Linked DNA regions of Rattus norvegicus. The protein of the gene in region 2 interacts with the protein of the main gene of each other region in a pairwise test. Links are inferred from orthologs where the notes say so. Each region holds a gene or a part of one and is shown on either strand. Other genes may lie near its edges.

Region 1 (4,072 bases), on a different chromosome or scaffold from region 2:
AATTGTAGATTAAGATTTAGATACCGAAGCTATCCAGTTAACACCAGGCCTCAAGAGTATTGTCTGGGCTTCCTAAATCCATGAGAATCATCAACCTGTGGGTGACAACCTTACCGTGGGGATGGCTGATGTAACCAAGAAGTTTGAGAAGAATAAGAAAAAAGTGCAGGGCAAGGGTCTGTGCAATGTGAAAACTGCAGAAGGAAATGAGGCGGCGGCGATGCGGGAGGCAAACCTTGCGGATGCAGCAATGGCTGTACAGTACTTTCTGTAGCAACCTTGTGAGGATTCTGTATGAAATGGTGAAGCTGGAGAACGGCCTCTCGAGTTTGTGTGTGGCGAGGAGGTTGGAGGTGTGGAGTTGGAAAGGAGACTTTGGAATGTTTTAAGTAAGAGAAAACTCCAGGGTTGGTAACACAGAGTCAGGAGGCAGAGTTTGCTGGGCTGGGGGTTGGGGGCAGAGAGCCCAGCAGACACAGGTCACACAAAAGTAGCTGCCGCTGAGTGTTGTTGCTGCCGCTGCTGTTATTTTTGCTGCCAAAGCATGGGAGAAATGATTGGTGAGGCACACAGTGAAGTTTACAGTAACGGGAAGGTTTTTTATCTTGACTATGGTAGCATTTCAGAGTTACACACAGACACACACACAGACACACACAGACACATACACAGACACAAACATACACACAGCACACACACTCACAAACACACACATTCACACACACACAGAAACACAGACACAGACACAAACACATACACACAGACACACACTCACAAACACACACATTCACATACAGACAGACACACAGAGACACACAGACACAAACACATACACACACAGACACACACACTCACTCACAAACACACACATTCACACACACAGACACACATGCACAGACACACACACATTCACATACACTCACACACAGACAGACACACACACTCACATACACTCACACACAAACACATACACTCAAACACACACAGAGACACACACATTCACACACACAAACACACACACACACACACACACACACACACACACACACACACACACTGCTTGTGTTGTCTTGCATCTTCTCGTTTCCTGGGATCACAGTACAGCGTTCAATGTTGTATATGAGTTGTTGATACGACCTAATTCAGACGCGGCGCCATTACACTCAGAACTACAACTCCCAGCGTTCAGTGCGGGTCCTGGGAAGTGCGGGGGGTGGGAACGCCTCGGATCCCGACCTCTACTCTGCTCCCATTGGAGGAGAGCTCATGTTCCCAGGAGGCCACGCGTAGGCGGGGCGCTTTACCCGGAAGCTTGCAGCCTCGGGTCCCGTCCATCTCTTGTTTCAGGCAGTGGACGACCCTGGGGGGACCCGCGCCCATCAGTCCGGAGCGCGAGTGCCCGCTAGGGGGTACCCGGCCAGGTAACTGGAATGGGATGAGAGGGAGGGAGGCTAAGGTGGGATACGGGTGGCTTTGGTTTCTCTGGTGTCTAATTTTCGAGCAGATCCAGTTTGGGCAAAGTGTGTTTTCACACTGCTGTGGAGTCTCGGGTTGGTGTCACAGCGTGTCCTTTAAGTTGTCATCACAGGGTGCAAAGATGTTGTTTCTCTCGTTTGCGTTCTGCAGACTTCTATAGCCAAAAAAAAAAAAAAAAAAAAAAACAACAACAACAACAACAACAAAAAAAAACCTCTTGTCACCCATGTTCACCGATATCACTTCCTGCTTCATGTTTTCCCTTTGCTTGTTGGTGCTTCATTGTGAGTTCCTATGCCCCCCACCTTACAACCTTAACAAATATATATTCAGGATTATCTTCCAAAAATCAATTTTTCTATAAATATTTTCTGTGTCTTTATATTTTCAGGATTATTTTTCAAAAGTCATCAATTTTTCTATAAATATTTTCTGTGTCTTTAGTATTTTGAGGATTATTTTTAAAAAAATCTATCCTAGAGGGATCTCCACTCAAACCTATTGTCTGAGCATGTTACTGGGTTTTTTTCCTTGATGGCCAATATTTACCAAGTTGATCGTGATCTTGGCTCTTTGGCTAATATGGCTCTGACTCTCATAACCAATGAATTATCAAGTTTTTTCCTTTGGATTTTATACTCTGATTTGTATCACCATTCCCTTTGGAAAATTTCTTTCCCTTTGAATAACTACGTCTGGAAGCCATGGACTTAACATGTATTTATTAAAGAATGAATCCATACTGGGCGCTCCCTTAAGTGCATGGAATACATTGGTAGCAAACAAGGAGGTGACTAGTATAGGAACTTACATGTTTGGGGAACTGGGATAAATAGGAATAATACATCAATATGGTGGTGTGTGTTGGTAAAAGCAAAACTTAGAAGGTTTTACAGAAAAAAAATCCTATCCTGACCAAGTGAGAGAGATATAGTTGGACTTCAGATCATTTTTCAGGAACAACACTTGTGATAGCAACAAGAGTAATCTTAGTTGATAGCCACACTTTTCATAAACATTCTCCCTCCTTTCAAATTGTCTGGCTTGCTATCAGTTCTAAGGTTATTGCATCACAATATGTGGTTTATTTGCCATTGACTTATTTCCTGCTGAGTCTCTCTGTCTCTGGCTTTTACTGCTGTGAACAGACACCATGACCAAGGCACCTCTTAGAAGACAACATTTAATTGGGGCTGGCTTACAGGTTCAGAGGTTCAGTTCATTATCATCAAGGCGGGAACATGGCAGCATCCAGGCAGGCACCGTGCAGGAGAAGCTGAGAGGTCTACATCTTGTTCCAAAGGCAAGCAGGAGAAGACTGACTTCCAGGCAGCTAGAATGAGGGTATTAAAGCCCACACCCACAGTGACACACTTCCTCCAACAAGGCCACACCTCCTAATAGTGCCACTCCCCAGCCCAAGTATATACAAACCACCACAGTCTCAGAGTAAAGAGTTGGCGATTGAATAACTATCAATGAACTATGTTACCTGAATTAAAGAGAGAGTTTGATATTAAAAATAAATACTCAGAGACACAGCCAGAATACAGCAAATACATAGGCGAATGCCAGCAGCAAACCACTGAACTGAGAACGGGACCCCCGTTGAAGGAATCAGAGAAAGGACTGGAAGAGCTTGAAGGAACTTGAGACCCCATATGAACAACAATGCCAACCAACCAGAGCTTCCAGGGACTAAGCCACTACCCAAAGACTATACATGGACTGACCCTGGGCTCCAACCTCATAGGTAGCAATGAATAGCCTAATAAGAGCACCAGTGGAAGGGGAAGCCCTTGGTCCTGCCAAGACTGAACCCCCAGTGAACATGATTGTTGGGGGGAGGGCAGTAATGGGGGGAGGATGGGGAGGGGAACACCCATAAGGAAGGGGAGGGGTTAGGGGGATGTTGGCTCGGAAACCGGGAAAGGGAATAACAATCGAAATGTAAATAAATACTCAAGTTAATAAAAATAAATAAATAAATACATACATACATACATACTCCTTTTAACAGGTTCTGTATAATATAAAGTTATCTCCCAGTTACAGTATTTTCAGTGCACCCAGTGTTCACTTAACTGTTCAATAAATATTCCTTGTCAGGTATCGTGCTGAGAATTGGGAGGCTAAGAGTAAAGCAAAGTTTAACCTCTTTTAAGGAGAAATGTTAACAATATACTGAGGAAAATGCTGACAGATTGGTACCTACTCATTCCTTTCTTTTAGAATCATATGTCTTATCTAATTTGATCAATTGTGATTATTCATATATTATTCATTCTTTATACTTCATTGCATGTTTTAAAGTCTGCCTCCCTTTGTGTTATGATTCCCTTAGTAGGCGTCCTCTCTTCCTGAGTTTCATATCTCCATTGTCCACTGCTTTGGCCATCCTATCCAGGCTGAGCTTGAAATCACTTTACTGCCAAGACTCACCCTGAACTCTTGATATTCCTGCCTCTGCTTCCCAAGTGTTAGTATCACAAGTGTACACAACTACATCCAACTACAACAGTTTTCTCTAAATCCAAAAACCATAGTCGATTGCCTCATAGCTATAAGGATGAGTCTCTAATATCAGTGAGAAAAA
Region 2 (3,500 bases):
TGGAAAAAGGAGAAACTCTCTCCCATCTACTGGCTCTGTTGGGGACAAGGACCTGGAAAGGGGCTCAGGGTATCCCCAGAGTGTCCTTGGTAACACCACTGGGGTTCAAGGTGCTGTGCAGGGAGCTGTGGAACCTTTAGGAGGCTACCTGACTGGAGGACCTCTGGAGCATGGGTGGGCATCCCTGTACTACTGCCGGACACATGCCAGCCCTGAAGTACCCATAGGGCATGAGCCACGGCCACTGCCAGGTTAGTCTCAGCTGTGAGTAGAATCCCCAGTTGGCAGCCTTACCCGCTCCTGCACCTCCAGGTCGGCGCTCTGCACAAACTGTGGCAGCCGCTCCACTAGTAGCTGGGTGACCTCCTGTGCCCCCTCAGTGTCGGCAGCCTGCTCCTTCTGCTGCAGGATGGACGCGTACAGCTTTACCACGTTCTGCACATACACAGCCTGGATGTGGCCGGGCAGTGTGGTGACCTTGGGCCGCAGCATGGCCTCCAGGGTTTGCTGGGGCCCCTGTAGGTGCCTGGGGGACAGGGGCTGCATGAGGGTACCGAGCATGCCCACAGGCCCATCTCACAAGTCAGTCAGGCCAGGCTACGTGAGAGCTGGGCTTCTCAGCTAAAGCACAACCTCGGGCACCTGCTCTCACTGTACAGAAGCGGGGAACCAAGAACCATGAATTTTTTTCTTTTTCTTTTTTTTTTTTTTTTGGAGCTGGGGACCAAACCCAGGGCCACTGAGCTAAATCCCCAACCCTAAGAACCATGAATTTTACAAAGGGGCGTTGTTTAAGCAACAATGGCAAAGATGTGACCACCACTAGTAGACACAGAAGGCAGGGAACCCATGTGACTTATATGGCCGACACACGGCCATTGATTTGTTCCTGGTAATGAACATTTGCCTGATATAAACGAGTCCCTGGGTTCAATTTCTAGCACCACAAAAACCAAATAACTTCTCCTGGCATCCTTGTGTTGTGCTGCCCTGTGGGGTTCAGAGGAAGCTCGCCCTGGGTCCTCAAAGAGCAACTTATACGCAGCCTCCATGGGCTGAGCTCTGGGGCAAGGGAGGTGCTGGGCCAATTGTGGGTTTTTTTCCCAGAGAGATGTGCTCCCCAGGAGACTTCTGTGACAGGCAGAGTTTACCACTTGACAACAAATGCACACCTGTGTGGGTCACAGCTGTCATGTGTCCTCTGGGCAAGTGTGCAAGGTGGAATCCGGCCTACCCACCTTAATAGTCCTGGAGCTCTAGGAGAGCAGTGGGGACAGGCTCACTCTCAGCACTGTATGCTGAGGCCTGGCTCTGAGGGTGGCAACTTGCCCAGCTTGGAAGTCACCCAAAGCAGAACAGATCTGCTTCATGGTCTAGAGGGCACTTCCCACAGCCAGTGTGACCCAAATTGGCCAAGCTACTCCATGGAAGAAGACAGATAATCACTTGGGCAGAGCTGCCCAGAACTGATCATATCGGGCAAACTGCCCACATGTCCCCCCACCAGGCCACCTCCGAGGGCCGCACCGACTCACTCCGAGAACTCCCCGCAGATCCAGGCAGCAGCATAGAGCACCTCACAGATGCCGTTGCGTTGGGTGCTGCTGGCTACCAGGTGGGCACTATCAAGCAGCGAAGACATCTGGGACACAGCAAATTTTCGAATGGCCTTGACCCGAATGGCCACGTCCAGCATCTGTGCAGCAATGAGGTGACCATGCCGGGTGCCCTCCAGTCTTGTCAGCTCCACAAGGATGCTGATGTACCACTCGAAGTTGGTGATGTGCTGGTAGTTGGACTGGCTACAGATGTCAATGATCTTGGTGAGCAGCTCGTCACGATAGGTGGTGCCCTCGGCCTTGTCCACGTGGGTCATAAGCTTCTTCACAATTTCCATCAGGTTCTTTTTGGACACCTGTGGGAGCACGGCAGACACGACCAGCCATGAATACTGACAGCCAAGATGGAACTCATGAGCCCAAGAGGGATGGCTTCCTCCCCAAACAGCAGAATTGTATCTAACTAAGGGAGAGTGACAAGACACTCTTGTACTGGGTACCCAGTCCCATTCCTTATAGCCTGGACAGGTGCCATCGGCTGACCGTAGCAGGCTCAAGCTGCTATCCCAGCCTGGGCAGGAATGAATGACCCAAGTACTTAAGTTTCACAGGCCCCCATGCTGGCCACAGGGACACAGACCATTCCATAGAGCAGGTCAAGGGCACGCAGGCGGATGGACTCGTCTTTGTCATCCAGGCACTGCAGGATCAGGTCCTTGTGGGATTGCACAGACTTGGGATGTGTCTTCAGGATTTTAGACATGGCCAGCAGCCCCAGGTACTTTACTGTGAAGACCAAGTGGCCATTAGTTTGGGGACAGCACGTGGAACACTATGATCCATGGCTGCACCAGGGGTATGTCACCATTTCTAGCCTCTGAGGTCCTAGCTAGTGCTGCCTGCAGCTAATGGCCATTTTTGTGAGCCCCACCTCACCCCAGGAAGCCGATGTGGAGGCCATGTACCCCAACCTCTCACAGCATGGTCTACAGGCACAGCCTTCTGGAAACTGGAGGAACAGGATTGTAAATCCAGCTCCGGAACATTATAAACCTCCATCTCCACAGGCACCGGCCTTCCCAAGCACACACCCACCTACATAACTATGACTGACAAAAACTTACAAATAATTTAAAAATACACATATAAAAATAAAAAGAACCCTGCTGCGATTAGTGTTGTACACCTTTCATCCCAGCACTCAGGAGGCAGAGGCAGGGGGATCTCTGAGTTTAGGCCAGCCTAGTCTACAGAGTAAGTTCCAGAAGAGCCAAATAAGGAAAAGAAAAAAATAAAGAAAAGAACCCCAAGGGCTGGAGAGATGGCTCGGTGGTTAAGAGCACTAACTGGTCTTCCAGAGGTCCTGAGTTCAATTCCCAGCAACCACATGGTGGCTCACAACCATCTATAATCGGATCTGATGCCCTCTTCTGGTGTGTCTGAAGACAGCTACAGTGTGCTCACAGACATCAAATAAGCAAAATTTAAAACAAACAAACAAACAAAAATATAACAAAAAAAAACAAAACCAGAAAAGAACAGAACCCCAAAGATGGCATGTCTGAGGACCCTGCCCACAAGCTCTAAAGGTCATTGCCAGCCAAAATGACAGTGGCTGCTGGCCCAGTGCAGGCCTCATGAGAAGTGAAGGGAGAGGCTGAAGCAGGAACCACAGAGGACGCCTGTGCACCTGAAGCCTCACTTGTGACAGGTTTTGAGATAGTCACTCATCAACAGGTGGCCCAGAGATGCTTTCCAACAGCATGGAGATGAGAGGTTGGGGTGTGGAGTGGGGATGTGAGCCCCGGGCCCTATGAGGAAGTCTGTCAGGCCTGGCTCTAAGGTAAGGACTGGAACATGGTAGACTGTAACAGCCTGCCACTTGGTCTGGTAAGCAGCAGATGACATTGACACAGCCCCCATTTTGGAGCAGGTTTAAGT

What was found.
Region 1: the proteins of Ap3d1 (region 2) and Vamp7 interact in a two-hybrid assay, tested with the Homo sapiens proteins (2 studies listed by BioGRID and IntAct). The link is inferred for Rattus norvegicus from reciprocal best matches to the Homo sapiens genes AP3D1 and VAMP7.

The regions. Positions count from the first base shown.
Region 1 is NC_086030.1:21,840,956-21,845,027, forward strand, and holds the start of Vamp7 (vesicle-associated membrane protein 7), read left to right. Parts: upstream 1-1,272; 5' UTR 1,273-1,421; intron 1,422-4,072. UniProt on the Homo sapiens protein: Involved in the targeting and/or fusion of transport vesicles to their target membrane during transport of proteins from the early endosome to the lysosome. Required for heterotypic fusion of late endosomes with lysosomes and homotypic lysosomal fusion.
Region 2 is NC_086025.1:9,641,495-9,644,994, reverse strand, and holds part of Ap3d1 (AP-3 complex subunit delta-1), read right to left. Parts: intron 2,346-3,500; coding exon 2,200-2,345; intron 1,916-2,199; coding exon 1,536-1,915; intron 527-1,535; coding exon 295-526; intron 1-294. UniProt on the Homo sapiens protein: Part of the AP-3 complex, an adaptor-related complex which is not clathrin-associated. The complex is associated with the Golgi region as well as more peripheral structures.